Oryctolagus cuniculus: one gene and its partners. The protein of the gene in region 4 purifies or fractionates together with the protein of the main gene of each other region. This does not show direct contact. Links are inferred from orthologs where the notes say so. Each region holds a gene or a part of one and is shown on either strand. Other genes may lie near its edges. The genes, in order: RPS3, NCBP1, NGRN, HNRNPA1, DHX30, MEPCE and MOV10.

Region 1 (4,071 bases), on a different chromosome or scaffold from region 4:
AGTGGGAGGGAGCAGCTCTTGCCAGTATCATTTGTATGGTCAAGGGGTGAGGCGGGGCGGGGGGACTCCTGCGAGTGGGGTTCAAGCTCTGACGCAGATCAGAGTGGACACTGGGAGGAGGAGAGGCCCACGGGGATGAGGGCGCAAAGCAGGTCATCTAGAAGGACAGGAGCCTGACTGCAGTGGGCCCCGGGGACTTTCCTCTGACCCTGCACTCACGGGCGGGTGCCCTGCTGCTTGCCCATGTCCCTAGAGAAGTCAGGCGGGGGGACTGACCAGGGCCGCGTTCAGCAGACCATGGAGCCGATGAGGAAGAACCCTGCTCTCCAGCTCCTTGTCTCAGTGAGGGCTGTCACGAGGCGGCCACCGTGGAAGCCAGAAACCAGGCACCACCTCAATTTCCCCCCTCAACCTCAATCCATCATTAAGACATGTCGGGGTCCCAGCTGTGTCTTTGGTTCATCCTCTTTTTCTTTATGAGTGTGTTTGTCTCTCAGAGAGAGAGAGAGAGACAGACAGACAGACACTGAGAGGGCTCCTATCCACCAGTTCATTCTCCAAATGCCTGGGCCTGCCAAAGCCAGGAGCTGGGGACTCAATCCGGCTCTCCCAGGTGGGTGGACGGAACCAGTCATTGGAACCATGGCTGCTGCCTCCCAGAGTCTTCATCAGCAGGAACCTGGAGCCAGGTATCAAATCGAGCCACTCCCATGTGGGATGTGTACGACTTAGGGTCTAGGCTAAAATGCCTGCCCCCATCCACTTCTTTTCCCTTCCCTGGCCCTCTGCTTAGCTCCCACGGAACTCCACTTTATTATAATCTCATGATGAAAGGACCAGTCATTTGCATCAGAGTTATTTTAGTGCCGAAGTTAAATGTAGAATTGTGCGCACGTGAGCCAGAACCCTGAGTCTGCTATAGGTTGTAACAGCTTTTATGCAAGTGGTGCATAAAGAGCACAGAATAGTTCCTAGGACGTTAACACGTAGTAGGTATTATCATTGGGAAGGGAGGAAATGGACAGAGACTGGGGAGAATGGGAGCTCTCGTAGATACTCGTTAGTATCGACCTGAAAGTGTGGGAACCAGGGTTCCACGCTGCCTAAACTCTTGCTGAAACTCTGAGCCTCTCCGTCCTTTTCAAAACTAGAGAAAGGGACTCTAAGTCCCCTTGCAGTTCCTGTTTCTTACTACAGGTAACTCCTTCGCTCTTCTCGCTCCTTTGCGGCCTTTTTGCATTAAAACTACATTTCCCATGAGCGCCCGCAGGCGTCGACGTCGCGCCGCTTTTCGACGTCGCGCCGAGCCGTTTATACCCATTTCCGTCCGCGAGCCACTTCCTTTCCTTTCGGCTGCGCGCGGCGGCAAGATGGCGGTGCAGATTTCTAAGAAGAGGAAGGTGAGCATCTGGAGCTGGGATCTAGGGAACTGCGGTGCTGCGCGGGTCGGGGACTTCTCGGGTCGCCTCCGCGAGACGCCGAGCTCCATTCCCGTCCTTGGGCAGTGGCATAGAGTGCGTGGTGTGGCCGCGGGCCGCGGATGGCGGCGGATTGAATGCGAGGCCCGAGGCGGGCGGCCGCTGGGTGGCCGGCTGGAAAGAGTGCAGCGGTGAGCCTGGGGCGCCCCACCTGTTCCGGGGAGCCTGTCTTGGTCAACAAATCTAGTGACTGTGTAGTAGTTTGAGGGGCGTGAGCCGTTTCTCTCGCTTCTTGACCCATGGCTTTGGGAAGGGCAGAGAGCAGCGTCGTCTTGCCCGCCGTACGGGTGCCTGGGTGCCGCCTTCCGACAGTACAGGTCTCACTTGTCCCGTTGGGGCAGGAAGCTCCCTCGGGTTTAACTTCGAAGTCATGTCGTGTCAAAATCGCTAGCTTTAGGCATCCATAGTTTGCCATTCTGCGTGTGTACATCGTTGTTAAAATTCCGCAGCAGCTAGGGTTGGCAGCTCCGCTGTCTGTAAGCCCACAGGTACACAAGGTAAGGCAGGGTGCCTGGCTGGGTGCAGGTGAGACCGCTCTGACCCACGCCTGCTCCTGTGACAAGGTAGAACAGTGTGCCTGCTGCGCGAAGTGGAGGATCTGAGGCCCTTCGGTGAAGAGGTGATGACGAGTCTGACCGGGGGTGCTGGCTCTCCCCGGGGGTCTTCCGCCGTGCTGCGTTCTGTGGCACCCTGGAAAGGGCCCTGGTGGAAGCAACAGCCCCAAGATGACCAAGAGGCATTTGTCTGAGAAGGGTTGCAGCATCCCTGTTGGCACAGGTACTGAGTTCTGATGAAGGATGTCTTGGCGTCTGATAGACTAGACTGGTCCAGAGGGAAGTGAGCCAGCCCCTCCTTTAATTCTGAACTTGCTTTTTTGGTTAGTTTGTTGCTGACGGCATCTTCAAAGCTGAGCTGAACGAGTTTCTCACCCGGGAGCTGGCTGAAGATGGCTACTCTGGAGTTGAGGTCCGAGTTACACCAACCAGGACAGAAATCATTATTTTAGCCACCAGGTAAAGTATCACTTGACTGGAGGGTAGTGATCTCTAGTTGTATACACTAAGGAAATCACTCTGTATAAATTTTAAGGGTACGGTCAAGTGAATTTGGCGTTAGTGAATGTGATTGTTTAAAGCGGCATTTTAAAAATTGAACAATAATTTCTGTCATGTAGAATTTGTATTTGTGTTGTGGCAGATAAGTGGGGCTTTAGTACCATGCATAATAGGCACAATTCACAGTTCATGTAGGATCTTGGGCGCGTCATCAGTGGTCTCTTTCTTGCCCAGGACACAGAATGTGCTCGGTGAGAAAGGCCGGCGAATCCGGGAACTGACTGCCGTCGTTCAGAAGAGGTTTGGCTTCCCAGAGGGCAGCGTAGAGGTGAGTGGTCTGGCTCATGCCAGAGGTTAAGTGGACGTCAATGGCTCTTTAGAGTGGTGCTTCTGAAATCCCTTATTCACCATGGAGACCTGCTCAGGCTCAGTGAGTGTTATGGTGGGATTGGCATTGGTTGAGGTTCTCAGTGGGCAGTGGGTTTGGTTTTACAGCCCTGTGTGCTCATTTCTGGTGGATGATGATGTTACACACCACCTGAATGTGCAGGTGACACAAAGTGGATGCACTGTGCCATTGGTCTCCCTGGTGTAGCTGTAGGAGGAGCCAGAGGTGGGGCAGTGAGGCTTGGTCTGCTTGTGTCTGTCCTGGGTGTGGGCAGGAGTGCTTTTGGACTTGAGGGATACTATTGTGATAAAATGTAAAAGGTTTATGGAAGAATGGAATTAAGAGATACTTATTTTAATGCCCCTCCAAAATTTGAAATCTGGCTTTTTTCATGATTCTTGTTCCTGAGCTCTTTGAAGACTTGGTCATACGTACATTGCACTGAAATAAACTTAGCTTTGAGTTCCGTTTTCCACAAACCCTTTGAGGTACCCTCCTGTGATGGTGTGGGGAAAGAAATGAGTGTGCTGACTTTGAATTGAAAACAAGGGTGAAGGTAACAGGGTGTGCTTTGCTTCCTTTAAAGCTTTACGCTGAAAAGGTGGCCACGAGGGGCCTATGTGCCATTGCCCAGGCAGAGTCTCTGCGTTACAAACTCCTAGGAGGGCTTGCTGTACGCAGGTAAGTGTCGTGCCGCCTGGTGGTCATGCCCTTCTGTGTGCATCAGAATGTGGTGTGTGCTCTTTGCTGGTTTCACAAATGAACTTGTGTTGAGTGACAGCTTCTGCTAGCCTCTGAGGGTTCCAGCAACACAGTACTGTTAATCCATGCCTTTGCTGGCTGCAGGCTAAGAAGACTGAAGAAGAAAAATGAGAAAAGGTGGACAGGTGTTCTAGGTGCTTGGGAAGAGAGCAGAAACAGGTGCTCAGGGAGGGGACCAATTCTCCTTGGTCTCTGGATGAGATTTAAGTGTCTTCTGGGAGGTGGGCAAGTCAGCCTGTTACTGGTAATTTGTGGGGTGCCCCGAAAGTCAGAACAAGATAGAAGACACTTGATCGGTTGAGATTTTCACTCTTATTGGCACCATAAACGCGAAAGCAGTCCTGATGAGAGAGCTTAAAATCCAGATACTTAATGTGGTGGGCTATGC
Region 2 (3,500 bases), on a different chromosome or scaffold from region 4:
TGCCACCTGCAGTGCAGGCATCCCATATGGGCATCGGTTCTAGTCCCGTTTGTTTCACTTCTGATCCAGCTCTCTGCTATGACCTGGGAAAGCAGTAGAAGATGGCCCAAGTCCTTGGGCCCCTTCACACGCCTGGGAGACCCGGAAGAAGCTCCTAGTTCCTGACTTTGGATGATACAGCTACGGCTGTTGTGGCCATCTGTGGAGTGAACCAGCAGATGAAGACCTCTCCTTTTCTCTCTGCCTAACTCTGCCTTTTAAAATAAAATATTAAAAAAAATCTGTGCACAAACTTTCAGTCTAAAATGCTAGAAGACAGGACAGACAGGCACAGCGCGTTCATCCTGAAGTGGGGGGAGAAGGTGGGGCAGAGTTAAGAGATACCTGAGAGTTCACAGAGCTCTTGCTCAACGACTTGATTCTAGGATGCCTGCCTGAGTCTGAATCCTGGCTCTGCACCGATCTGTGACTCTGGGAAAGCTGTGTAAACATTCTGTGACAATTTTCTTTAAAATGTGAACAGTGGAACCTCCTTTCACTCATGGTAATGGTTAACTTAACAGGATGGTCAGTTCTCAGTGCAACCCTGAGAATGCTTTCTGTTGTCTGCATTTGTGATCACCCACTGACTAGAGTGACGACCTCAGCTCACACCCCGTCACACCGAGGACTCAGGCCGTGTCAGACCAGTGTCCTCAAGTAATCGCAGTTACTGCGGAGAAGGTAGAAGCTCCGATAGATTTTTGTTTCTAAGTAACTCACTTTTGTACTGTTTTGTGTCATCTCCTGCTATCTCAGTCCCAACCAATTCTAAAGCCTGTGAAATTTCACAAATAAGAACCGAGTTAATGAGAAGTTCCTTCCCTTTAGGGGAACAGGTGTAGAATTATATCTGCATTATATCTAGGATTTTGTGGCCCAGATGCAAATGTGTCCAGCTTTCCTTGTCCCTGGCATGACTGATACACCCAAGCCCCATCTGGCCTAGCAGAGACGCCAACACACAGCCAGCTCTTCCACATCCTCCTTCCCAATAGTCCTCTGACAGCACTTCTACCTGACCGGCTTAGACCTGATTCAAATGAGTGTGACCCTAGGAGATGCTGCAACCTGATGGGCTATGGGTATTTCCATTGTCTAGAAATACCTATGAAGTCCAGTCCTACCAGATTGGACCATTAGGATATTGACACCACCTAGTTTGGACCAGAATTTTGAGTTCATGTTTAAGAGATAACACATAACATATGCCAATTCTTAGAGAATTAAAAACGTTGTAAAGTCAGTCCTATTACCTAATAAAATCACGAGACAGTTCTGAAGAAAAGATCCAATTTGCTACTGCAGCACAATCAACAATCTGTGTACGAATCATCTTATCCACCAGTACAGCAATCATCTGTAACGAGACAATTATTAGGGTAAACATTTTATGTATGCCAAAATAATACTGCTATAAAGTAAAACAGTGGGGCTATAACATTGCTTTTTAGTGGCTATGAAATTAATCAATTTGGCCAGTAGGTCTTCAGATTTATTTTGCTCCTTGCTTGGTTCTAGCACTATAAGAAATATTAACAAATTGGAGCCAGCGTTGTGGTGTAGCCTGAGATGCCCTCATCCCATATGGGCAATCAGTTCAAGTCCCAGCTGCTCCACTCCTGATCCAGCTCCTTGCTAATGGCCTGGGAAAAGCAGAAGATGGCCCAAGTGTTTGGGCCCCTGCTGCCCATGTGGGAGACCTGGGAGCTCCTGGCTTCAGCCTGGCCCAGCGCTGGCTGTTGCAGCCATCTGGGTGTGAACCGGTAGATGGAAGACCTCCCTCAAAATAACTAAATGGTAACACCTAAAATTTTAGATAATTCCTATACAAGTATATAACTTCAACTGAATACAACAGGTCAAAAATAATTTTATCATAAAAAGTCTTAACCGTCCTTTCAAACATTTCAATGCCTTTTAATAATACATAGAATTAAAAAATTGTTTTACAAACCAAAACAAAGGTAATTAGTTGCCTAATTTTTGTAGTCCTACAATGAGGGAGCCACAACATGGCTTACCTGCGGATGGTTCCTCCAAACCTCAAACATAACCCTCAGCACGTGTAACTTTCCTTCATCACTTTCTGCTAGTGTTTTGAAGACTTCGTGAAACCTTTAGACAACACAGGGAAAAGTGTCACATACACTCACTCCTTTTAATGTTTGCAAGGTTAATTTATAATATCTAAGTGCAAAATTACCAACTATTAGTCACTGAAGATATAAGAAAGTCATACTGTAAGCCCAAGACCTAGGGACAAGTTAACGTTAAGGAACTGTCTGCAAATCTGAAGTACCTGTTTTCATTCTCTGTGGGAACCCTGCAAGCAGTACAGAGCCTGGGGAGCTGGGAAGGAATGAGACGGCCAGCTCCCTTCCCTCCCACCGCGGCCGAGGCAGGATCCAGGATCTATAAGTTCCTTCTTTTGCTGAGCTATCTGGTGAGTTAGAAATCAGTCTTTAGATGCCAACCTCTGGGTGGCTCCCCAAAATGTAGCTGGCTCTCATTTCTGCTTCCCTTCCTTTCAGAGGATGCGTTAGCAGCACAGGAGCTATGGACTATATATACACGACTGTTCCAAGGGCCCGAGATTGCATTAGTTTCTCCAAATGTACGAAAAAGTATACATTCCATGTGTACACTGTACATATAGACTGACAGAAGCCAGGAAACAGAAATTTTAACTAAAACAAATCAAAACCCATTGTGTGGCCAGCGCCGTGGCTCAGTAGGCTAATCCTCCGCCTTGTGGCGCCGGCACACCGGGTTCTAGCCCCGGACGGGGCACCGGATTCTGTCCCAGTTGCCCCTCTTCCAGGCCAGCTCTCTGCTGTGGCCCGGGAGTGCAGTGGAGGATGGCCCAAGTGCTTGGGCCCTGCACCCGCATGGGAGACCAGGAGAAGCACCTGGCTCCTGGCTTCAGGTCAGCACAGCACGCCGGTCATAGCGGCCATTTGGGGAGTGAACCAACGGAAGGAAGACCTTTCTCTCTGTCTCTCTCTCTCTAACTCTGCCTGTCCAAAAAAAAAAAAAAAAAAAAAAAAAAAAAAAAAAAAAAAAACCATTGTGTGGAATCATATATTAAGATCTTCATATTAATCAATTTCAGGTTAAAAAAAAAATCAGTGTATCACTGAAGCTCAGCGAGTCCCAAGCCCCCAGAAAGGCTCCGTGCTGCTGCTGCTCACTTACTTGGCCAGGGCACTGAAGGAGTGGCTGAAGGACTTGGCTGCCAAGTGCAGCAGGGTCTGCACAAACACCTCTATTTTCAACGGGTTAAAACTGAATCCTTCATCTGAAAAATATTTCATAGCAAGTGAAAAAAAATGAGTACAGCAATTCCTTGGTGCCTCACCTAGAATGAATGCTCAAAACAAAACACTATGTCAGACATTTATATAACATCTTTTAGTATTAAAAAGAATAAAAGACCATTACTGATTTCAAATACGCAA
Region 3 (2,703 bases), on a different chromosome or scaffold from region 4:
ACAACTGGGGCTGGGCCAGTCCCGCGCTAGGAGCCCCTCCCAGGTCTCCCACATGAGTGCAGGGACCCAAGGGCCAGGGCCATCCTCTGCTTCTTTCCCTGGTGCATTAGCAGTGAGCCAGATCGGAGGTGGAGCAGCTGGGACTTGAACCAGCACACATATGGGATGCCAGCACCACAGGCAGCAGCTTAACCTGCTATGCCACAGTGCCAGCCCCCCCAAATATGAATTATTTTCACTGTCTCGCTCATGAAAAGAAACATACTATAAATAAGTTGCTTTGGGGCCAGCTGGAGTAGGTTGGGCCTCTGCCTGCCATGCCAGCATCCCGTCTGGGCATGGATTGGAGACCTGGCTGCTCCACTTCTAATCCAGCTCCCTGCTGGTGCACCTGGGAAAGCAGCGGCTGACGGCCCCAGTCCTTGAGCCCCTGCGCTCACAGGGGACACCTGGAAGAAGCAGCCATCTGGGGAGTGAAACAGCTTACAGAAGGTCTCTCTCACTAACTCTGTCCTCTTTGTGACTCTGCCTTTCAGATGGAAATATGTGTGTGTGTGTATTCATTTATTTTAGATTTCATTTATTTATTTGAAAGGGAGAGGTACAGAGAGAGGGAGAGACAGAGATCTGTAAATCGACCACTGAGAGAGCTTGAGAATAGAAAGCTACTCATGAGGTTGCACCGCCTGAAATCCTTCCCTGGCTCACGTCACCTAAATGCAAGGTGATCTTGCCCCTGCCTGGCCTTTGAGCCGAGTCCCAGCAGAGCTGCTGATCGGCGTTTCACGTGCTGTCCTCCCTCCTCACCCCTCCCCTCTCTTGACATGACTGCTTTTCAACCCTGCAGACCAGCTTTAGCTTGGACTTCTTGATGAGGGCCTAGTCCGGGCTGTTTGTTGGTGACTTGGTTGCCCACCCCTGGGTTTCCCTTTTGGTGTTCTCCCTGCAGCCTAATAGTCACCATGCAGCCATCTGTGTTAAACTGTGTGCCCCTGGAAGGAAGGGGAGTCCTTCGTCCCAGGATCTAAGGTGGGTGTTAGACAGCAGTGGGAGGTGTTGAGCTGACACCACGAGGGGTGCGATGTTGCTGATGGCACGCGGGAATGGAACACAGCCATTTAACTGGCACAGAGTGTGCTAATACCTGTAGTTCCCCCAAGCCCTCCTTTTGCTTCTCACTAATCTTATCGAGAGCTATTCTAATAGGACACTCAACTTGAAAACCTCCTTTTTTCCACAGGTATCTGCATAAGGAGTTTGCAGAGACCTGGTCAGTTCCCAGGTTGGCTGAAGGCTTTGATGTCAGCACTGATGTGATCCGAAGGGTTTTAAAAAGCAAATTTGTACCCTCCTTGGAACAGAAACTGAAGCAGGATCAGAAAGTCCTTGAGCGAGTTGGGCTCGCCCACGCACCGCCGCGGCTCCCTGCAGGCCACTCTGTGTCAGGGGCTTTGCTGGTGCCAGGAGATGAAGCCTCATCCAAAGGTCAGAGTCCCAGCACAGCTCTGAGAGCAGTCGCAAACACGCCTGGTGCAGGTTCACCAAGGAGACAAAAAGGAAGGAATCCAGGACCCCAGGGCCCGCAGGAGGAGGGCTTGGTGCCTGAAGCTGCAGCCTGGGCTCGGCAGAGGGAGCTTCCGAAGTCCCCCACTCGGGACTGCACGCGGCCCAGAAGAAAGGGGAGCCAGCCGTCGAGTGACGGGAAGCTGGAAGACTTGAAGGCGGGGGGAGCTGGTGCCCAGAACTTCAGCAGCAAAGTAGTGCAGAGGGGGCGGGAGTTCTTTGACAGCAATGGGAACTTCCTGTACAGAATCTGAGCGGGGTCTGCCTTGTGAAGCACAGGTGGGCCGGTGTTTTCAGAACTGCCTGGCTTTCTGCGTGTGGGTCAGCACCTTGCGATGGAGGAAGTGGGCGGTGGAAGCCGCAGCTGCCTGGGTAGAGGGAAGCTGTCCGGAGCACTGCGCCGTCCGCCCCCTGTGAATCTCCATGCTCGCCCTTCTTGCCCGGGCTCTGTGTTGCAAGCCAGTGTTGCATGTGTTAGGAGCTTCTGTGATTCTTGTGCAATATACATTAGGGAGGAGGTGAAAAGTTTGCCTTCTGACCTCATTTCCTTGTCGATGAGTGAACACTAGCAGTTCTGGAACTGCCCGGTCAATTGGTTATTTCCTTACGTGTAGAAAAATAAAGTGAAAACGTAGCAGTCTGTGTTGCCTCGTGGTCTCTGGGGTGTGAGGTTTCTGAACCTTGGAGAGCAGGAAATGGGAAAGGAGGGGGATGGATTCCATGGGGAGACAGCTGGGCTGAGAGAAATCCCCAGGAGGGGGCTCTGTAGAGCACCCTGCTTGGTGAGGGTGGGGTACTTTTGGTGGTGGTTTGCCTTTTTAAGGATATCTGTGAGAAAGGATTTGAGAGATCAGCCATCTGCCGGCTCCGTAACAGTGGGCTGGGCCAAGTGAAAGGGAGAAAGCCAGAGCTCCGCGCAGGTGGCAGGAACCCAAGGACTTGAGCCATTATCTGCTACCTTCCTGGCGTGTGAAAGGCAGGACAACCAGAGATCTTCCATCTGCTGGCTCACTCCCCTAATGGCAGCAACAGCCCAGGCTGGGCCAGGCCGAAGCAAGTAGCCAGTAACTTACTCCAAGTGCCACACAGGTTGCTAGGGCTCAAGTACTTGAGCCATCTTCCTCTGCTTTCTTGGGTGCA
Region 4 (4,293 bases):
CCGCAGAAACAGGCATCCTGAGGTCGCCTTGCCGTACAGTACACAGTGATTTCTCTCATTCGCTAACACTCAGTCCGTCTTCCTAAAACAAGTTCTCTAAATCGAAAGCCCTGCTCGGGTTTCCCCCAAACTCAATGTGGTGGATGCTGGGATGCCCCGACGTGGAGAGCGATGCCAAGCTGCAGCACCCAGGACCAAATTTACGCTTCCGCTACCAAAGAGGTGCACCGGGCGGGGGGCTTCGCAGAAGTCGTAGGGGGGAAAAACCCACCCCCGCACGCCATCACGACCATTGAATCTCCTTCCTCCCCACCCTTTCCCACCAAATCGAAGACCTCCCCGTCCTGGAGAGCCTATTGGACGACCTGTCCGAGAGGCTTCCTTGGGCCGCCCGCCTACTGGCTCCAGATTTGGTCCATCCACTTGAGGGCCCAACTCCCGCCTTCCCCGCTGGAGTCAAACCCACGGCCCCTCGGAGAAGCCCAACCTACCGCGCGCTTCGCGCTCATTGGCTCGGCGGGACGCTGCTCAGGAAGGGAAAACCCGCCTCCCACATTCCGATGGCCCAAAGGCCGATCAGTCGGCAGCTCGAGGTAGACCCAATTGGCCTAGACACGCGCCAGTCAAACGCCTCGGCGGCACAGCTCCACACAACCTACAGGGATGGAATATCCCGCCCCCTGTTCTTCTATTGGTTGGCCCAACCCACCGCTGCCCCTTGACTATCCCCCCACCCCACGGTCCATTCATTTCACACAATAACGGGCCCAACTGGAGCCGGTCCAAGGCCTTGTACAGGTAGACAAGACTCTCTGCCACTTACCCGGGATCGAGAGTGATCACACACCCTAACGTCTGCCCCGTTCCTCTGTGCTGAGGCCGCACCACAAGCCACCGCTGCTGCTGCCTTCTGCGCAACGCCAACCGCCCGCCAAAACGGATCCTTCCCTGCGCCTGCGCAACCAATCCTGGGCCCGGACCCTTTCTCCGCCCACAACGCCTGCGCAAAGCAGCGCGCAACTCCCGCCACTACGCAGGCGCCGTAGGTTAACCGCCTTCTCCCGCCCGCCATTTCACGTGTTTCAAGCGGCGAGCGGAACTCTATAATGCGCATGCGCAAGATCGCCATTTTACTACACATGCGCTCAACAGGCGGTTGTTGAAAAAAACCGTCACATCTAACTACTTTTCTGCTGCTTGGTGTTAATAATGCTTTACCAAACAAATAGGATATATAATTTGGACTAGTAGAATGAAAAAAAAACGTTTAGACAGGCGAAGTACGTTCAAAAATGAATGATTGTTCAGTTAGCCAATCAGGCTGGCTAAGAATAAGATTGCTCGAGGACCAATGGGGTCCGAGGGGTGGAGACTGCGCAGAACGCCCTAACGGTGACGTACGCAGCAGTGCGGCGCCATACACCAATAGTAGAGGGAAGCGATTTCAAATGTCCAATCAGAGCGAGGCAGGGGTGGAGTCTGCCAATGTCGAAAGCGAGGAGGCGGGATAAAAAAGCGAGGCCGAAGGTAGGCTGGCGGATACGTTCGTTGGCTTACTCCTTTCTGCTTGCGGACGCCGCCGAGGAAGCATCGTCGAGTTCTCTCTTCCCACCGCCGTCATGTCGAAGTCAGAGGTGAGGAGCTCCCCTTTTCTAACGTAGTTCTCCCCCTCGTCTCCCTCTTCGAGTCCAGTAGGGGCGGTTTCTTTGCCCGCAGCAACCTTTTCGGCAGTTTGCTCGGTCGCGGCCAAGGCCTACCCCTCCCAAAGTTCAAGTCGCCATTTTGTCCTCGTCGTCGCCATGAGGTTGCGGGCCGCTAGCCCCTCGATAATCACTCCGGGGTCGGCGTCGGGGCAAAATCGTTAGCCATATGGCGATTTAGGTTCAATTTTGTCCCGGCGAGCGGGTTTTAAAAAAGCCTTGATGCCCCTCACGGCGATGTCCCCCTCCCGCGCGGACCTTTTGTTGCGCGCGTGCGTCTGGAGGGAGCGGAGCGGCGCATGCGCTGGAGGCTCCCCAGCCCCCAACGGGCCGCCTCCCCTGATGAGGGGGAGCACGTGGCCCGCTTTGGACCGGAGCGAACAAAAAGTGCCGCCTTTGTGGGGGCCGAGTTGTGTTCCCCACCCCCCGCGTGGAAACGGGGTCGTGTGGTAGCCCGAATTTACAAGAGAAAAACCAATTTTGCTCTCCCGCCCAGTCGCCCAAGGAGCCCGAGCAGCTGCGGAAGCTCTTCATCGGAGGGCTGAGCTTTGAGACGACCGATGAGAGCCTGAGGAGCCATTTTGAGCAATGGGGCACGCTCACGGACTGCGTGGTAAGACTGGGGAGGGCCGGGAGGCGGGGCGTCGGCGGCTGTTCCTGCAGATTCTGTGCGAGGGCTTAAGATCCTAACGGGGCCTGAGTTCTGAGTTAGGAATGGCTCGTTTGTGGCTCTTCGGCCTGCTTTTTGGAAGTTGCGGGAGCGGGGAACAGGAGGACCGCCCTATAACCTCCTACGGGCCCGGGCCTTGTAATAAGCAAATTAACGCTGTCTCCAGGTAATGAGAGACCCGAACACCAAGCGCTCCAGGGGCTTTGGGTTTGTCACCTACGCCACCGTGGAGGAGGTGGATGCGGCCATGAACGCAAGGCCACACAAAGTGGATGGAAGAGTTGTGGAACCAAAGAGGGCTGTGTCGAGAGAAGTAAGTGGGCCCCCAAACCCCCATCGGTTGTGGTAATAGGCTTGCCATTGGGGAGCCATCTGGACCCTTTCAAGTACTTGATAAAGGACACAGATTTTGCCATTTAGAGTAACTCGTGGTTCTCGGCTCGGTAGGATTCCCAAAGACCAGGTGCCCACCTCACTGTGAAAAAGATCTTCGTGGGTGGCATTAAAGAAGACACTGAAGAGCATCACCTCCGAGATTACTTTGAGCAGTACGGGAAAATCGAGGTGATTGAGATCATGACTGATCGAGGCAGTGGCAAGAAGAGGGGCTTTGCTTTTGTGACCTTCGACGACCATGACTCCGTGGATAAGATTGTCAGTGAGTATCAGATCCCAGGCACTTTGCGGGCTTTCTGCAACGCACGTGGCATTCCACTCTAACCCCGGGCTGTTTGTCATCAAATTTCAGTTCAGAAATACCACACTGTGAACGGCCACAACTGTGAAGTGAGGAAGGCCCTGTCGAAGCAGGAGATGGCCAGCGCTTCGTCCACCCCGAGAGGTATGTCTATTGCTTAGTCGGACGTTAAGGTAACTTTGAGTTTTTCCAATCTGTATGGTTTAACACTTATCTCTCAAGGTCGAAGTGGTTCTGGAAACTTTGGTGGTGGTCGTGGAGGTGGTTTTGGTGGCAATGACAACTTTGGTCGTGGAGGAAACTTCAGTGGTCGTGGTATGTATGGTTAGCTAAGGTTAACTCTAGAGAGCTTGTGGTTTCTTGACCCTAGATGACTTGTCCCTTTTTTTTCTGTAACCTGTAGTAGCATATAACAAATGGCCTACGTTTCCGAAGTTAAGTTTTATCTAAAATGCAGCTCTGGCCTGTAACTAACCAGAAGTTACTCCGGTGTGCCAATCGTTGTCACAGTGCAGGGAGCGCTTCCAGAGCGTACCACGCAATTCATATGCTCTAAACCTGCTGCACGTGTTTGCTTTCTTCCAGGTGGCTTCGGCGGCAGCCGCGGTGGAGGTGGTTATGGTGGCAGTGGGGATGGTTACAATGGATTTGGTAATGACGGTAAGTCTTTAAAGAATACATAGGTAAAAATGTTTCTGGCAACTTGTGTTACTAGATTAGGATGATAGAAACTGTTAACTGCTAGTGCATGATAAGCTCAACTGAACCCATAATAAGCATGCTTTGCGCAGGCCTTTAGCCATTACACTTGAACCGATTTTGATTGTTAAATACTTTTGTCTTATTGAGAAGAATTGTATTCTTATAGGTGGTTATGGAGGAGGCGGCCCTGGTTACTCTGGAGGAAGCAGAGGCTATGGAAGTGGTGGACAGGGTTATGGAAACCAGGGCAGTGGCTATGGCGGGAGTGGCAGCTATGACAGCTATAACAACGGCGGAGGCGGCTTTGGCGGTGGTAGTGGTAGGTATCGAGTGATCCAAGTACTTGGTCTGATAGCTAGATTAGTGTTTTAGCATTTTAATGCCCATATTGCGATTGGAAGCTCTTAAAGCATTGTGTGGTACACTGCATGGTATATTAAAAGGAAATGAGCTTGCTGTGCTACCTCCTCCTAGCTTTAAGCTGGGGCCGCCTCACTCCCAAATAAGTAGATGCTAAGCGGGTA
Region 5 (3,016 bases), on a different chromosome or scaffold from region 4:
GCCCCGATTCTAGGAGGTGGTTCTGGCAGGAGTGTGCCTATAACCAGTGTGTGTCTTGCTCCCCAGTGCACTCCAACATCCCCATGATGGACCAGAAGGCCATATTCCAGCAGCCTCCAGCAGGGGTGCGCAAGATTGTCTTGGCCACCAATATTGCCGAGACCTCCATCACGGTCAATGACATTGTACATGTGGTGGACAGCGGTCTGCACAAGGAGGAACGCTACGACCTGAAGACCAAGGTGGCACCTATCTCCTGGGCCCAGCCAGACCCCGGGGGAAGGACTCCAATCCCAAGGTGGCCCCCAGTCCAGACCTGCCTTACAGCGGCTCTGTCTCTGGAGAAGGCCACGCTCGTGGGCTTTGACTGTCCCTGCTGCGGTGTGTGTTGGGGGGGGAGTCCTGTGGTGTCCGTGTGGCTGCTCACCTGCTTCTTCCCCCAGGTGTCCTGCTTGGAGACTGTGTGGGTGTCGAGAGCAAACGTGATCCAGCGTCGGGGCCGGGCAGGCCGCTGCCAATCAGGCTTTGCCTACCACTTGTTCCCACGGAGCCGGCTGGAGAAAATGGTCCCTTTCCAAGTGCCGGAGATCCTGCGCACACCTCTGGAGAACCTGGTGCTGCAAGCCAAGATCCACATGCCTGAGAAGACGGTGCGTGGGGCTGGGGCTGGGGCTGGGGCTGGATGGGGCTGGCCTTGGGAGCAGGCAGGTGAGCTGCAGACTCACAGGGAGCTCTGGCTTATTCCTGCTGTAGGCAGTCGAGTTCCTCTCGAAGGCTGTGGACAGTCCAAACATCAAGGCGGTAGATGAGGCTGTGATCTTGCTCCAGGAGATCGGTGCGTAGGAGCTGGGCTGGGCTCTGGGGTGGCTCTCAGATGGGACTGACAGCTGAGCCATTGCAGGGGTGCTGGACCAGCGAGAGTACCTGACCACCTTGGGGCAGCGTCTGGCCCACATCTCTACTGACCCGCGGCTGGCCAAGGCTATCGTACTAGCTGCCATCTTCCGCTGCCTGCACCCACTGCTAGTGGTGGTTTCCTGCCTCACCCGGGACCCTTTCAGCAGCAGCCTGCAGAACCGGGCAGAGGTGGACAAGGTCAGACCCAGTCCCTCCCCTCAGCCCCCTGGCTCCCCCTTCCAGCCTTCCAGCCACATCCTGTCTGAGGCGGCCTTCTCCAGCCCCTCCCTGTGACCCTGGTACTCCCCCCGCCCCCCTAACCCAGGTGAAGGCATTGCTGAGCCATGACAGCGGCAGCGACCACTTGGCCTTTGTGCGGGCTGTAGCCGGCTGGGAGGAGGTGCTGCGTTGGCAGGACCGCAGCTCCCGGGAGAACTACCTAGAGGAAAACCTGCTCTACGCACCCAGCCTGCGCTTCATCCATGGTCAGCGGGGTCCACACCTGGGCTCCTCAGCCCCTCCTGCCTGCTCCCACCCATGCCCACCCACACTAACTCCTGTCGTTCCCTAGCCTTGTGGCTGGAGGGCCCTGGTTCATGGTGCACTTGCTCCCACAGGGCTCGTCAAGCAGTTCTCGGAGAACATTTACGAGGCTTTCCTGGTGGGGAAGCCGTCAGACTGCACGCTGCCCTCTGCCCAGTGCAATGAGTACAGTGCGGAAGAGGAGCTGGTGAAGGGCGTGCTGATGGCTGGTCTCTATCCCAACCTCATCCAGGTGCAGCCTCTGGGGGCAGGAGCTGACCATATCCCAGCTGCCTCCCTTCTTCAGCTCCTTCCCTGACCTCACCCATCCTTTTCTCCATCCCTGCAGGTGAGGCAGGGCAAAGTGACCCGACAGGGGAAGTTCAAGCCCAACAGTGTCACTTACAGGACCAAATCAGGCAACATCCTGCTGCACAAGTCAACCATTAACAGGTTGGGGACCGGCAGGAGTGGACTGGGCAGCTGGGTAGGGCCCAAAGCACAGCCTCAACCCAGCCGTCTATTCCCTAGGGAGGCCACAAGGTTACGGAGCCGATGGCTGACATATTTCATGGCAGTCAAGTCCAATGGCAGCGTCTTTGTCCGGGACTCCTCCCAGGTGCACCCGTTAGCTGTCTTGCTGCTGACCGATGGCGACGTGCACATCCGCGGTGGGTACCTGCAGACTTCCCAGCCCCACGGCTCCATGGGATGCGCCATGGCCTTGGGCCCAGCCTCACTGTGCTCTCTCCGGTCTCTTCCCTTCCCCCAGATGATGGGCGCCGTGCCACCATCTCACTGAGTGACAGTGACCTGCTGCGGCTGGAGGGTGACTCACGCACTGTGCGGCTGCTGAGGGAGCTGCGCAGGGCCCTGGGCCGCATGGTGGAGCGGAGCCTGCGCAGTGAGCTGGCTGCGCTTCCCCCCAGTGTGCAGCAGGAGCACGGGCAGCTGCTGGCACTGCTGGCAGAGCTGCTGCGAGGACCCTGTGGTAGCTTTGATGTGCGCAAGACAGCAGATGACTGAGCCCCACTCCCTGGGGCTGTGTACAGAGTGCAAATGTTTATTTAAAATAAAGTTCTATTTATCCCTTGTGAGCATCGCTACCCACTAGGGGCTCCTCTCAGGGCCTCAGCTGCCCGACATCGAGGAAGCATGAAGGGAGAGACAGAAGTGTCTTCCTGGGGGACAGGGCCTGTGGTAGCCCTGAGTTGTGGTTTAGACTGTCCTCCCTACCCCCCAGGAGTTGACCCTGCAGTGCTGCTACGCTGAAGGCCAGCCCCAGCCTTCGGCGCAGCGCCTCACCTAAGTCCCCAACGCCACAGGTGGCCTGTCAGAACCATCACTGCCTTTGCAAACCTGGACACTGGACTCGCCTGCCTGGACTATAACCCTCCGGTCGTGCCATCGCCCTGCTACAAACTCGGTAGGACCCACGGATTCGCAGGTGAGGGTCTGAGTGCTGGCTGAGGTCTTCGCTGGTGCCAGAGGTGGAGACAAACGAGCACAGGCCTGTGTGGTGGGACATCAGGCAGCTTTATTTACTCTTGAAATCATTACAGTGGAGTCAGGTTGACATGGGGAATGGCTGGGCCAT
Region 6 (4,206 bases), on a different chromosome or scaffold from region 4:
TGCTGACTGTTTTACCTCTGCGTTCCCCTGCCTTCTCTCGTGCTCCCATTATTCTTCTTCCCAGCCGTTATTTTTTTAGGATTTGACATCCTCCTGAAACCCACTCCCGCCTCCGAAGCCCTTTCTTTTCTCCCTGTTGGCAAGGAGACCGAGCTACCCATCACCCTGGGGAAACGGCTCCATTCCTCATTGGCCGAAGCTGGAAGTCCAAAGAGGGGCCGAATCGTCTTCCCCGCCCACACCCGCTTTTATATAAGGCGGCGCGAAGCCTCGGAGTGCGTCCGGGAAGGCCTGCTTGCGAGCTGGCGGCGGCCACGGCGGCTGCGAGGGGCCCCGCGGGCCCGCGGTCTCGCGCGCAGCCGCCGTGTGGCGGGCGGAGGACTTGGTGTCAGGGCCGTGGGTGTGGAGGCGGACAGGAAGGCGTGGTGTGCCCAGGTGATCGCGATTGGGGCAAACGCCGAGGAGCCAAAGAACGACTCAGCCATTTCAGGGGAAGAGGAAGTTGAACAACACCGGCTCTCCTTAGTGCCTTTTTTTGTTTTTTTCCAGTTCAGCAGAGCGTTATTTTCGAGGGGGGTGAGTTCACATGACCTATCGAATTGTACTGAGGACGGTCAGGGCGCCTCCCATTCTCCCCTTCCGCGACTCCTCAATTCACCCCCTCAGCGCGCTCAGCTCTTAACCAGGTGGGCAAAGCGGGGCCCAGGAGCGCGCGCGCGCACTCGTGAATAATTCATGAGGCCCGCCCCCGAGCCCGAGTCGCGCTGACGCACGCTGCGTGCGCCGACCCTGAGGGAGCGACGTACAGGCCCCGCCCCTAGGCCGGGGGTGGGGCGTCGGCCCAGCACGTGCTACCTCGACCCGCGCAAGCCCAAAAGCGTGTGCGCAGGCGCTGCCCGCTAGGGGGAGGAAGGAGGCGGGGTAGGGAGGTTGTTGGGTTTAGAGCCGGGCGGAGACCGCTGAGACTCATTCCTCAGGAACAAGGGTCGGGTGTCAAGGAGACCTTTTCACACCAGCTCCCCGTCCCCCGCCTTCGGTGGGTGGGGTCGCGCGGCAGAGACAAAGGATATCAGTAGGGAAGTAGGGTGTCAGTTTGGGGTGGTGGGCTTCTGGGGGAGGGCCGAGGAGGGGGGGCTATATTTAAACTCGGGGAGCCGTTAAGTTGGGTTCGTACTCCGATGCGCGCGCAGCCAGGGTGGTGGCGGAGTGCGCATGCGTGGCCCCGGGGCTAGGGGAACGCGCGCTCGCCGTGCGCGCTCGCGGCCGAGCGGTAGTGGTGGCGGAGAAAGGGGTCGGCGCACGCGCGGTTGATTCCTCGAGTTGTTCGGGTCTCGCGGGCATCTTGTTTTGGTCTCGCGGGCGAGTGGGGCGCGCTTCAGGGTGGGGGGGAGGAGGCGCTTGGGCGCGAGACCCAGCGAGGCGAGCAGAGCTGCGCGCGCACCCGGGGAAACGGGAGGGGGAAGGGAGCGGGGTCTAGCCAGGCGGGGGCGGGGGGCTAAGCCCCCGATCCCCACCTCGTTACCCTCGAGTGGGACGGAGTAAGGGGAGGAAATGATCGAGATGGCGGCGGAGAAGGAGCCGTTTCTGGTGCCGGCCCCGCCGCCGCCGCTCAAAGAGGAGTCGGGCGGAGGGGGCGGCCCCACGGTGCCACCACCCCGAGAGGCCGCCTCCGGGGAGCCCCGCGGCGAGCCGGAGCGCGGCCCGGGCCGGAGCGCGCGCTCCGCGGACGCCCCTGCCTCGGCAGCCGGCAGCGGGAGCCCCGGCGCCGCCGCCACCCCTCAGGGCGGCCCCCGGGCGCAGCCGCACGGGGAGGCCCGCGTGTCGGATCCCCACGGGCGAGCCGCTCCCCCGGATGTGGGGGAGGAGCGCCGGGGAGGGGGCGGGACGGAGCTGGGCCCCCCTGCCCCTCCTCGGCCGCGTAATGGCTACCAGCCCCACCGGCCCCCTGGGGGCGGCGGGGGCAAGAGGAGAAACAGCTGCCACGTCGGGGGCGGCGGTGGGGGCTTCAAGCACCCGGCGTTCAAGAGGCGCCGGCGGGTAAATTCGGACTGTGACTCCGTGTTGCCCTCCAACTTCCTCCTCGGGGGCAACATCTTCGATCCGCTGAACCTCAATAGCCTTTTGGATGAGGAAGTGAGCCGCGCACTCAATGCGGAGACCCCTAAGTCATCCCCACTGCCCGCCAAGGGCCGAGATCCAGTGGAGATCCTCATCCCCAAAGATATCACTGACCCGCTCAGTCTCAACACTTGCACTGATGAGGCTCAAGTAGTTCTTGCTTCGCCGCTCAAGACTGGTCGGAAACGGCACAGACACCGGGGACAGCACCACCAGCAGCAGCAGCAGCAGGCGGCGGCGGGTGGAGGGAGTGACAGCCACTCCGTGCCGCCCACCGCCCCCCTCACCCCCTCACTCCACGGGGAGGGCGCCGCGCAGCAGCAGCGCCCGAGGGGCCAGAACCGGGATGCCCCCCAGCCCTATGAACTCAACACAGCCATCAACTGCAGGGATGAGGTCGTGTCTCCCCTTCCGTCCGCCCTGCAGGGCCCCTCAGGCTCCCTTCCGGCCCCTCCCGCTGCCTCAGTTACCTCTGCACCCTCGTCTTCCTCCTCCCGGCATCGCAAACGGCGCAGGACTTCCAGCAAGTCTGAGGCCGGGGCTAGGGGTGGAGGCCAGGGTCCTAAGGAGAGGGGCCGCGGGAGCTGGGGAGGCCGCCACCACCCGCCACCTGCGGCAGCGTTTAAAAAGCAGCAGCGCAAGTTCCAGTATGGGAATTATTGCGAGTACTATGGGTACCGCAATCCTTCCTGTGAGGACGGCCGCCTTCGTGTGTTGAAGCCCGAGTGGTTTCGCGGCCGGGACGTCCTAGACCTGGGCTGCAACGTGGGCCATCTGACCCTGAGCATTGCCTGCAAGTGGGGCCCCTCGCGCATGGTGGGCCTGGATATCGACTCCCAGCTCATCCACTCTGCCCGCCAGAACATCCGACACTACCTGTCCGAGGAGCTGCGGCTCCCAACCCAGACTTCGGAGGGAGACCCCGGGGCAGAGGGGAAGGAAGGGACTACCACCGTCCGGAAGAGGGGCTACTTCCCAGCCTCGCTGACAGCCAGCCGGGGTCCCATCGCTGCACCCCAAGTGCCCTTGGATGGAGCGGATTCATCCGTCTTCCCCAACAATGTTGTCTTCGTCACGGTAAGAGGATCTGAGCGACTCTTGGAGTAGAGGCCACGTATGAAGATGAGCTTAAATGTGGCAGGGGCAGGTTTTGACCCTCCCCCCGTGAGATTTCCGCGCATTCAGTCCTTGATAGGAGAAGCAGATTCTCTAGGGTCTGTACTCTCCCTTGGGTGTGTCTCCCGCAAGGAGCAGTTGGGGCCTCTACCTTGGGTCTTTAACCCCGGGGTCCTTTCTCAAGACTGGAAGATCTCTTGCCTGAGAGAGATTGACGGAGTGCTGTGTGCCTGGCCTGGTCTGGGCTAATCCAGACTAGTCCACCTTCCCTTGAGGGCCACTGCTGATCCTTAGGAGACTCTGTTAAGATGGAACCTCAGCCCTGCTGAAGCAGTGTGAGGGGTGGGTGTCGGACGTGGAGTGCCTTGGGGGGAGATGAGGTCAGTAGCAGGCTAATATTTATAGTTTCTGTCTTTCACTTGGGACCTTGTTTGCAACTGCTGCCTTTTTTTTTTCCCCAAGATTTATTTATTTATTTGAAAGGCAGAGAGAAAGATCTTCCATTCGCTGGTCCCTCTGCCCTCCCCCCCCCCCCAGGGGCTGCAACGGCTGGGGCTTTGTCAGGCCAAAGCCAGGAGCTTCATTTGGGTGTAGGTAGCAGGGGCCCAAGCACGGGAGCCATATTCAGCTGCTTTCCCAGGTGCACTAGCAGGGAGGTGGATTGGAAGTGGAGCAGCTGGGACTCCAACCAGCGAATGGAATGCCAGCACCGCAGGAGGTGGCTTAACTGCCACAACAGCTGTTTTTTGTTTCTCCAGGTAGAGTTGGTTAAAGATTGTCAGTGGTCAGGATCCCAAGCAACTTGGCTTTTACCTCTTCTCCATGTTGACCCTAGATAGAGGGAGAGCATAGTCCTACACGGGACTGGACCATGCCTGGCGAGTGTTGCTCCCCATCAAAAACTTTAGGCCATCTGCAGGAATACTTGGCAGTAGGTTGAGTTAAGCCTGAAGAATGGGCTTTGCAGAGGGC
Region 7 (3,942 bases), on a different chromosome or scaffold from region 4:
CTTCTAGAACAGAACAGAACGTATGAGAGTAAAAATTAGGTTGCCCTGTGAAGTAGCTTTTCTAGTCTAGATGAAACTAGTCTAGAGAAGTTACATTGTGCATGGCATTTTCAGGTTTTTACTATACTACAGCTGTTTATGTGTTTTGCAGCCATGAGGAGATCGGTTTCACTAGAGAAGGGGGGCAGGGTATATGTTTAGGAATAATGGGAACATGGATTTGCAATCCAAATGCTTTGGTATAGTGGATGGTACATTTTTGGAAGTGTAAGTGAAAGAATTTTGTAGGAACTCCTCCTCTCTGGAACCTCGTCGAGTAACTGGGGGAGAAAAGTGGTAAAATATTTTGGCTACAGTCCCCATTTCTCCCTCTACCTGGGATGATCAATTTCTAGGACATCAGGTTTCCCTGTGCTCTGTTTTCCTGGAGCTTTGGGTCCCACTGTCCTCTCCTGACCAGTTGGTTGGTGGCAAGGAAGGCAGGAGGAGGTAGCCCAGCTGGAGCGTCCTAGGTGCTGGCCATCCCTCCCACCAGCTTACAAGGGTGTGTGGCCGCCTATAGGGATGTGCTTCGGAGAACACTTAGCTGTGATCTACTTGGAATTCTGGTAGATTCGACCTAAACATTTTAAAAATACTACCCATCTTTGTCCCATTCTACTGTGTTTTTGTTTGTTCCTTCTGAAGAACAAACATGCAAAACCCTGGTTCTGTTTGTTTTTGTGGTAGCCCCACCCCCTTGGGGTTTCTTTGGAAGCCTGCAGGTCTCTTCCTGGTGCTGATGCTGTGGCTGTTAACCATTTACTGCCTAACCTAGCAGTCCCTTGCTCTCAAGAAGCTAGTATTTTGATGACTGGGGCAACTCACTTATTAACAGTAAAAGAGCACTGCATAATTGGAGTGCAGTTAAGTGCCCAAATATGTAGCTCAAGGCTAGGTCTCAGCAGCCTTTCCACAATAAAGAAGCCTGTGCGCGGGAGAAAGTAACCACTCTGCAGACTGGGTCCTGGCGGGGCCCCTCGTCCCTCCCTCCCACACGTACACACCTCTATCTCCGAGACACTTAGTTCTTTCTCCCAAACTTCTTGACTCTTGCCTTCCTCCTTCCGTCTGAAAGGAAAATGGGGGAGGGGGCGTGCAGCCCGCTTTCTTCCAGGGTTTCTGTCCTTCGCAGTCTGGGGGAGGTGCTGGACTAGCTGCCCAAGTCTGGCTACAGCTGACCCAGGCCCCTGTCCCGCCCTTTGCTCCCCAGCTTTCCAATAAGCCCCGAGGCTCAGCAGGGTGAGCGTGGGAGTCGCCCTGGCTGTGGTGCGGAGGTCCTTGGGCGGTTCAGGGGGCCCCAGGCGGTAGCCACGTTTTTATACTGGCTGGAGGCCAGGGGAGGGAGCTCAGGGTAAGGGGAGGGCCCTGAGGGAGGGGTCAGACTCCTTAGGAAAGAGTTAATGCGAAGAGGGGGGAGGGGATAGGACGAAGAGACCGAAGGGAAGGCTCAGGTAGGAAAAGAACGGTGGAGGGAAGCCTGGTGGGAAGAAGGGAGCCTGCGGACTCTGGGGTCCGAGTGGGGGGCGCTTCCCTCCGCTGCATCCTCACCCCAGGGCCGCCAACTTCCAGCCTCGGCGGCGACTTTCAGTTTCATTTCCACGGACCCTCCTGCTTGGGCCGCAGCCACCGCCGCGATGCCCAGCAAGTTCAGCTGCAGGCAGCTCCGGGAGACGGGCCAATCCTTCGAGAGTTTCCTGGTCGTTCGGGGACTGGACATGGAGACAGATCGCGAGCGGCTGCGGACCATTTATAACCGCGACTTCAAGATCAGGTACGAGCCGGCCCACCTCCAGCTCCGGAGCGCGGGCCCAGCTAGCCGCCACGACCCCCGCGTCGGGACCACCCTTCCCGACCCGGGGCTCGGAGAGACGCAGCTCCCCCAGCGGCTTGGGCCCGTCCTGGGGCGGCGCAGCCCTCCCCTCCGCCGCCGTGCCCACGCCCCGCCAGCGCCTCCCGGAGTCCGCCCGATCTGCCCGCGCCGGGGGGGCCCCTTGCCGCGTCTCCGCAGAGAGCCTCCAAGGCTGTTGACCCCAGCCTGGGAGCGGGGTCTGTGCCCACGCACCGCTCGCGGGGGGCTGGGGGACAGCTCTTGCAGTGGGGGAAGGGAGCCTCCAGAGGGGGGCCCAGGCATCTCAGGAGCGCGGGCAAGGAGCTGCCTGCTGGGGGCCGCTAGCTCTGGCGCAGGCTGCATGGAGACCCCGGCCCCCTTGTTGCAGTGCTGCTGCTTTAAGTGTCCGCTATCTGGGAGAGCTGAGGAGGCCCAGTGTAGGCGAAGAGAATCTCGGGGCGCTCTAGAAAGAAGCGAAGGGCACAAACTGCGTATGTAGCAACCGCCCATTAGCACCTGTGGCTTCTCCATGGAGACCCAGGGCCAGGAACAGCTTCCTGGAGGCCCCCTTCCCCCTGTGGCTGAACGCTGTTTGGTCTCCTGTTGTCTTTACCACTAAAGTGCAAATCAAAGAGACTTATATCAAACCGCAGATTTGTGCTTCAAAAATCACCTCTATCAACAGGCTGCTGCCTCCGGCAAGAAACCAAGCAACAGTTTAATAGGGATAAATGTGAAGACGTGTGTGCAGATAAATGCGGGGTGGTGGGAACTGGGGCTGGATCACAGGTCTCCTGCACAAGGTCTTGGGTGTCCTCACACCAAAAGGCCAGGGCTGGCTGCTAAGGTGAACGCAGGTGGAGTGAATAGACGGGCAGTTCCCGGTGGGAGAAGGAGGTGGTGACTTTCCCGGTTGACCACCAGATTCTATCTTGAATGTTGTTTTGGGTCATGGGTGTCACATTGTGAGAGGCACATCGACTGGCTTGAGCCACCATCTGAAGAAGGTTCAAAGTTGATGACCTATTTTGTGCCACTACACCATGAATGATAAAGACGGAAAATTGTGCACACCCAGGGGAGAGTGTATGCAAAATACTGTGCTTGGTAAAACACAAGGATTGTAATAAGGTAATAAGAAAGATGCTGGTGGGAAGTACAGAGAGAGCACTTAGTGTTGGAGCACATCCTGTCAATGCTCCATGTACACACACTCACCACTTAGTGTCCACAGAGCACAGCATAGCTCTGAACACATCAGCCACTGTTGTTGAAAAAGTTATTCTGATACTTGTTAAAATGGTAAGGAGGACTTTATTGAATACTGTTGTAATAGGACTGCTTCATTTAGAGGAGGGAGCTCGAACTCAACTCAGTACAGCAAAGATACCCGAGGACTTCTAGCCGATATTCTAATGTAGAATATTAGTAAGAGGAAGCATCCTCTTGCTAAACACTGAGCTAGACAGGCCTAAGACTAAAGGGTATAGGGAGCCAAGGGCAAGGCCTTGCGAAGAGAGCTCAGAGGAGCCTGGCTGAAGTTTAGTCAAGGAGTCTTTGTCACTTCTGAACCAAGGTGCACAGCGTGTTTCAGTGCTGGAGAGAACCTGTCCATTTTGGATTGCATACAGAAAACCACGTATGCTATCCATTACCGATGAATTAGGGATTCTCAAAGGTAGTTTTTACTGTATGAGCTTGTGTTTTTATACAAAAAAAAAAAAAGCCAGTCCCCTGTAATTATGAGGAATGTGAAGGAGAAAGTGATGTTGACCTTGGCCTTGAAGGAGAGAACATTTTTTAGTATGTGGGGGAGGAGGAAAAGTCTCTGTGTGGGCTTCATATTCTGTCAACGAATCTGAGACATGTTTGACTTGAAAAATGAGAGAGGATGAGGTAGTTATCACTGAAGAAGACTCATGGTGTCTCTCCAGCAGGCAGAAGTAGGTTCTGTTGTCATGCCACTCCCACCAGGTGGAGGAGACTGGCTTGGGGCCACCTTCACCATGCAGCCTTTCAGACCAGGCTACAGTGCTGTGAAATCAGTCCTCATCCTCCTCTTGGGAATTAGT

The links.
Region 1: the proteins of HNRNPA1 (region 4) and RPS3 fractionate together in Homo sapiens (co-fractionation; 3 studies listed by BioGRID and IntAct, with this or other methods). This does not show direct contact. The link is inferred for Oryctolagus cuniculus from reciprocal best matches to the Homo sapiens genes HNRNPA1 and RPS3.
Region 2: the proteins of HNRNPA1 (region 4) and NCBP1 purify together in Homo sapiens (affinity purification with western blotting; 4 studies listed by BioGRID and IntAct, with this or other methods). This does not show direct contact. The link is inferred for Oryctolagus cuniculus from reciprocal best matches to the Homo sapiens genes HNRNPA1 and NCBP1.
Region 3: the proteins of HNRNPA1 (region 4) and NGRN purify together in Homo sapiens (affinity purification with mass spectrometry; 3 studies listed by BioGRID and IntAct, counting the BioPlex papers as one, with this or other methods). This does not show direct contact. The link is inferred for Oryctolagus cuniculus from reciprocal best matches to the Homo sapiens genes HNRNPA1 and NGRN.
Region 5: the proteins of HNRNPA1 (region 4) and DHX30 purify together in Homo sapiens (affinity purification with mass spectrometry; 3 studies listed by BioGRID and IntAct, with this or other methods). This does not show direct contact. The link is inferred for Oryctolagus cuniculus from reciprocal best matches to the Homo sapiens genes HNRNPA1 and DHX30.
Region 6: the proteins of HNRNPA1 (region 4) and MEPCE purify together in Homo sapiens (affinity purification with mass spectrometry; 3 studies listed by BioGRID and IntAct, counting the BioPlex papers as one, with this or other methods). This does not show direct contact. The link is inferred for Oryctolagus cuniculus from reciprocal best matches to the Homo sapiens genes HNRNPA1 and MEPCE.
Region 7: the proteins of HNRNPA1 (region 4) and MOV10 purify together in Homo sapiens (affinity purification with mass spectrometry; 3 studies listed by BioGRID and IntAct, counting the BioPlex papers as one, with this or other methods). This does not show direct contact. The link is inferred for Oryctolagus cuniculus from reciprocal best matches to the Homo sapiens genes HNRNPA1 and MOV10.

Annotation. Positions count from the first base shown.
Region 1 is NC_091432.1:66,517,568-66,521,638, forward strand, and holds the start of RPS3 (small ribosomal subunit protein uS3), read left to right. Parts: upstream 1-1,271; 5' UTR 1,272-1,370; coding exon 1,371-1,400; intron 1,401-2,084; exon of another isoform or gene 2,085-2,231; intron 2,232-2,360; coding exon 2,361-2,491; intron 2,492-2,767; coding exon 2,768-2,861; intron 2,862-3,507; coding exon 3,508-3,602; intron 3,603-4,071. UniProt on the Homo sapiens protein: Component of the small ribosomal subunit. The ribosome is a large ribonucleoprotein complex responsible for the synthesis of proteins in the cell. Has endonuclease activity and plays a role in repair of damaged DNA.
Region 2 is NC_091432.1:201,466,212-201,469,711, reverse strand, and holds part of NCBP1 (nuclear cap-binding protein subunit 1), read right to left. Parts: intron 3,341-3,500; coding exon 3,238-3,340; intron 2,158-3,237; coding exon 2,064-2,157; intron 1,400-2,063; coding exon 1,296-1,399; intron 1-1,295. UniProt on the Homo sapiens protein: Component of the cap-binding complex (CBC), which binds cotranscriptionally to the 5'-cap of pre-mRNAs and is involved in various processes such as pre-mRNA splicing, translation regulation, nonsense-mediated mRNA decay, RNA-mediated gene silencing (RNAi) by microRNAs (miRNAs) and mRNA export.
Region 3 is NC_091443.1:100,254,896-100,257,598, forward strand, and holds the end of NGRN (neugrin), read left to right. Parts: intron 1-1,240; coding exon 1,241-1,817; 3' UTR 1,818-2,203; downstream 2,204-2,703. UniProt on the Homo sapiens protein: Plays an essential role in mitochondrial ribosome biogenesis.
Region 4 is NC_091442.1:57,215,737-57,220,029, forward strand, and holds the start of HNRNPA1 (heterogeneous nuclear ribonucleoprotein A1), read left to right. Parts: upstream 1-1,493; 5' UTR 1,494-1,619; coding exon 1,620-1,634; intron 1,635-2,196; coding exon 2,197-2,313; intron 2,314-2,536; coding exon 2,537-2,683; intron 2,684-2,817; coding exon 2,818-3,028; intron 3,029-3,118; coding exon 3,119-3,211; intron 3,212-3,289; coding exon 3,290-3,382; intron 3,383-3,652; coding exon 3,653-3,727; intron 3,728-3,935; coding exon 3,936-4,088; intron 4,089-4,293. Other genes in the region: CBX5 (chromobox protein homolog 5), read right to left, coding at 824-1,141. UniProt on the Homo sapiens protein: Involved in the packaging of pre-mRNA into hnRNP particles, transport of poly(A) mRNA from the nucleus to the cytoplasm and modulation of splice site selection.
Region 5 is NC_091441.1:101,031,415-101,034,430, reverse strand, and holds the end of DHX30 (ATP-dependent RNA helicase DHX30), read left to right. Parts: intron 1-66; coding exon 67-242; intron 243-443; coding exon 444-650; intron 651-753; coding exon 754-835; intron 836-901; coding exon 902-1,095; intron 1,096-1,222; coding exon 1,223-1,382; intron 1,383-1,514; coding exon 1,515-1,672; intron 1,673-1,768; coding exon 1,769-1,872; intron 1,873-1,950; coding exon 1,951-2,090; intron 2,091-2,191; coding exon 2,192-2,445; 3' UTR 2,446-2,516; downstream 2,517-3,016.
Region 6 is NC_091450.1:42,641,034-42,645,239, forward strand, and holds the start of MEPCE (7SK snRNA methylphosphate capping enzyme), read left to right. Parts: upstream 1-1,406; 5' UTR 1,407-1,551; coding exon 1,552-3,195; intron 3,196-4,206. UniProt on the Homo sapiens protein: S-adenosyl-L-methionine-dependent methyltransferase that adds a methylphosphate cap at the 5'-end of 7SK snRNA (7SK RNA), leading to stabilize it.
Region 7 is NC_091438.1:57,646,062-57,650,003, reverse strand, and holds the start of MOV10 (helicase MOV-10), read left to right. Parts: upstream 1-1,142; 5' UTR 1,143-1,281; intron 1,282-1,308; exon of another isoform or gene 1,309-1,393; intron 1,394-1,404; exon of another isoform or gene 1,405-1,493; intron 1,494-1,611; 5' UTR 1,612-1,676; coding exon 1,677-1,813; intron 1,814-3,942.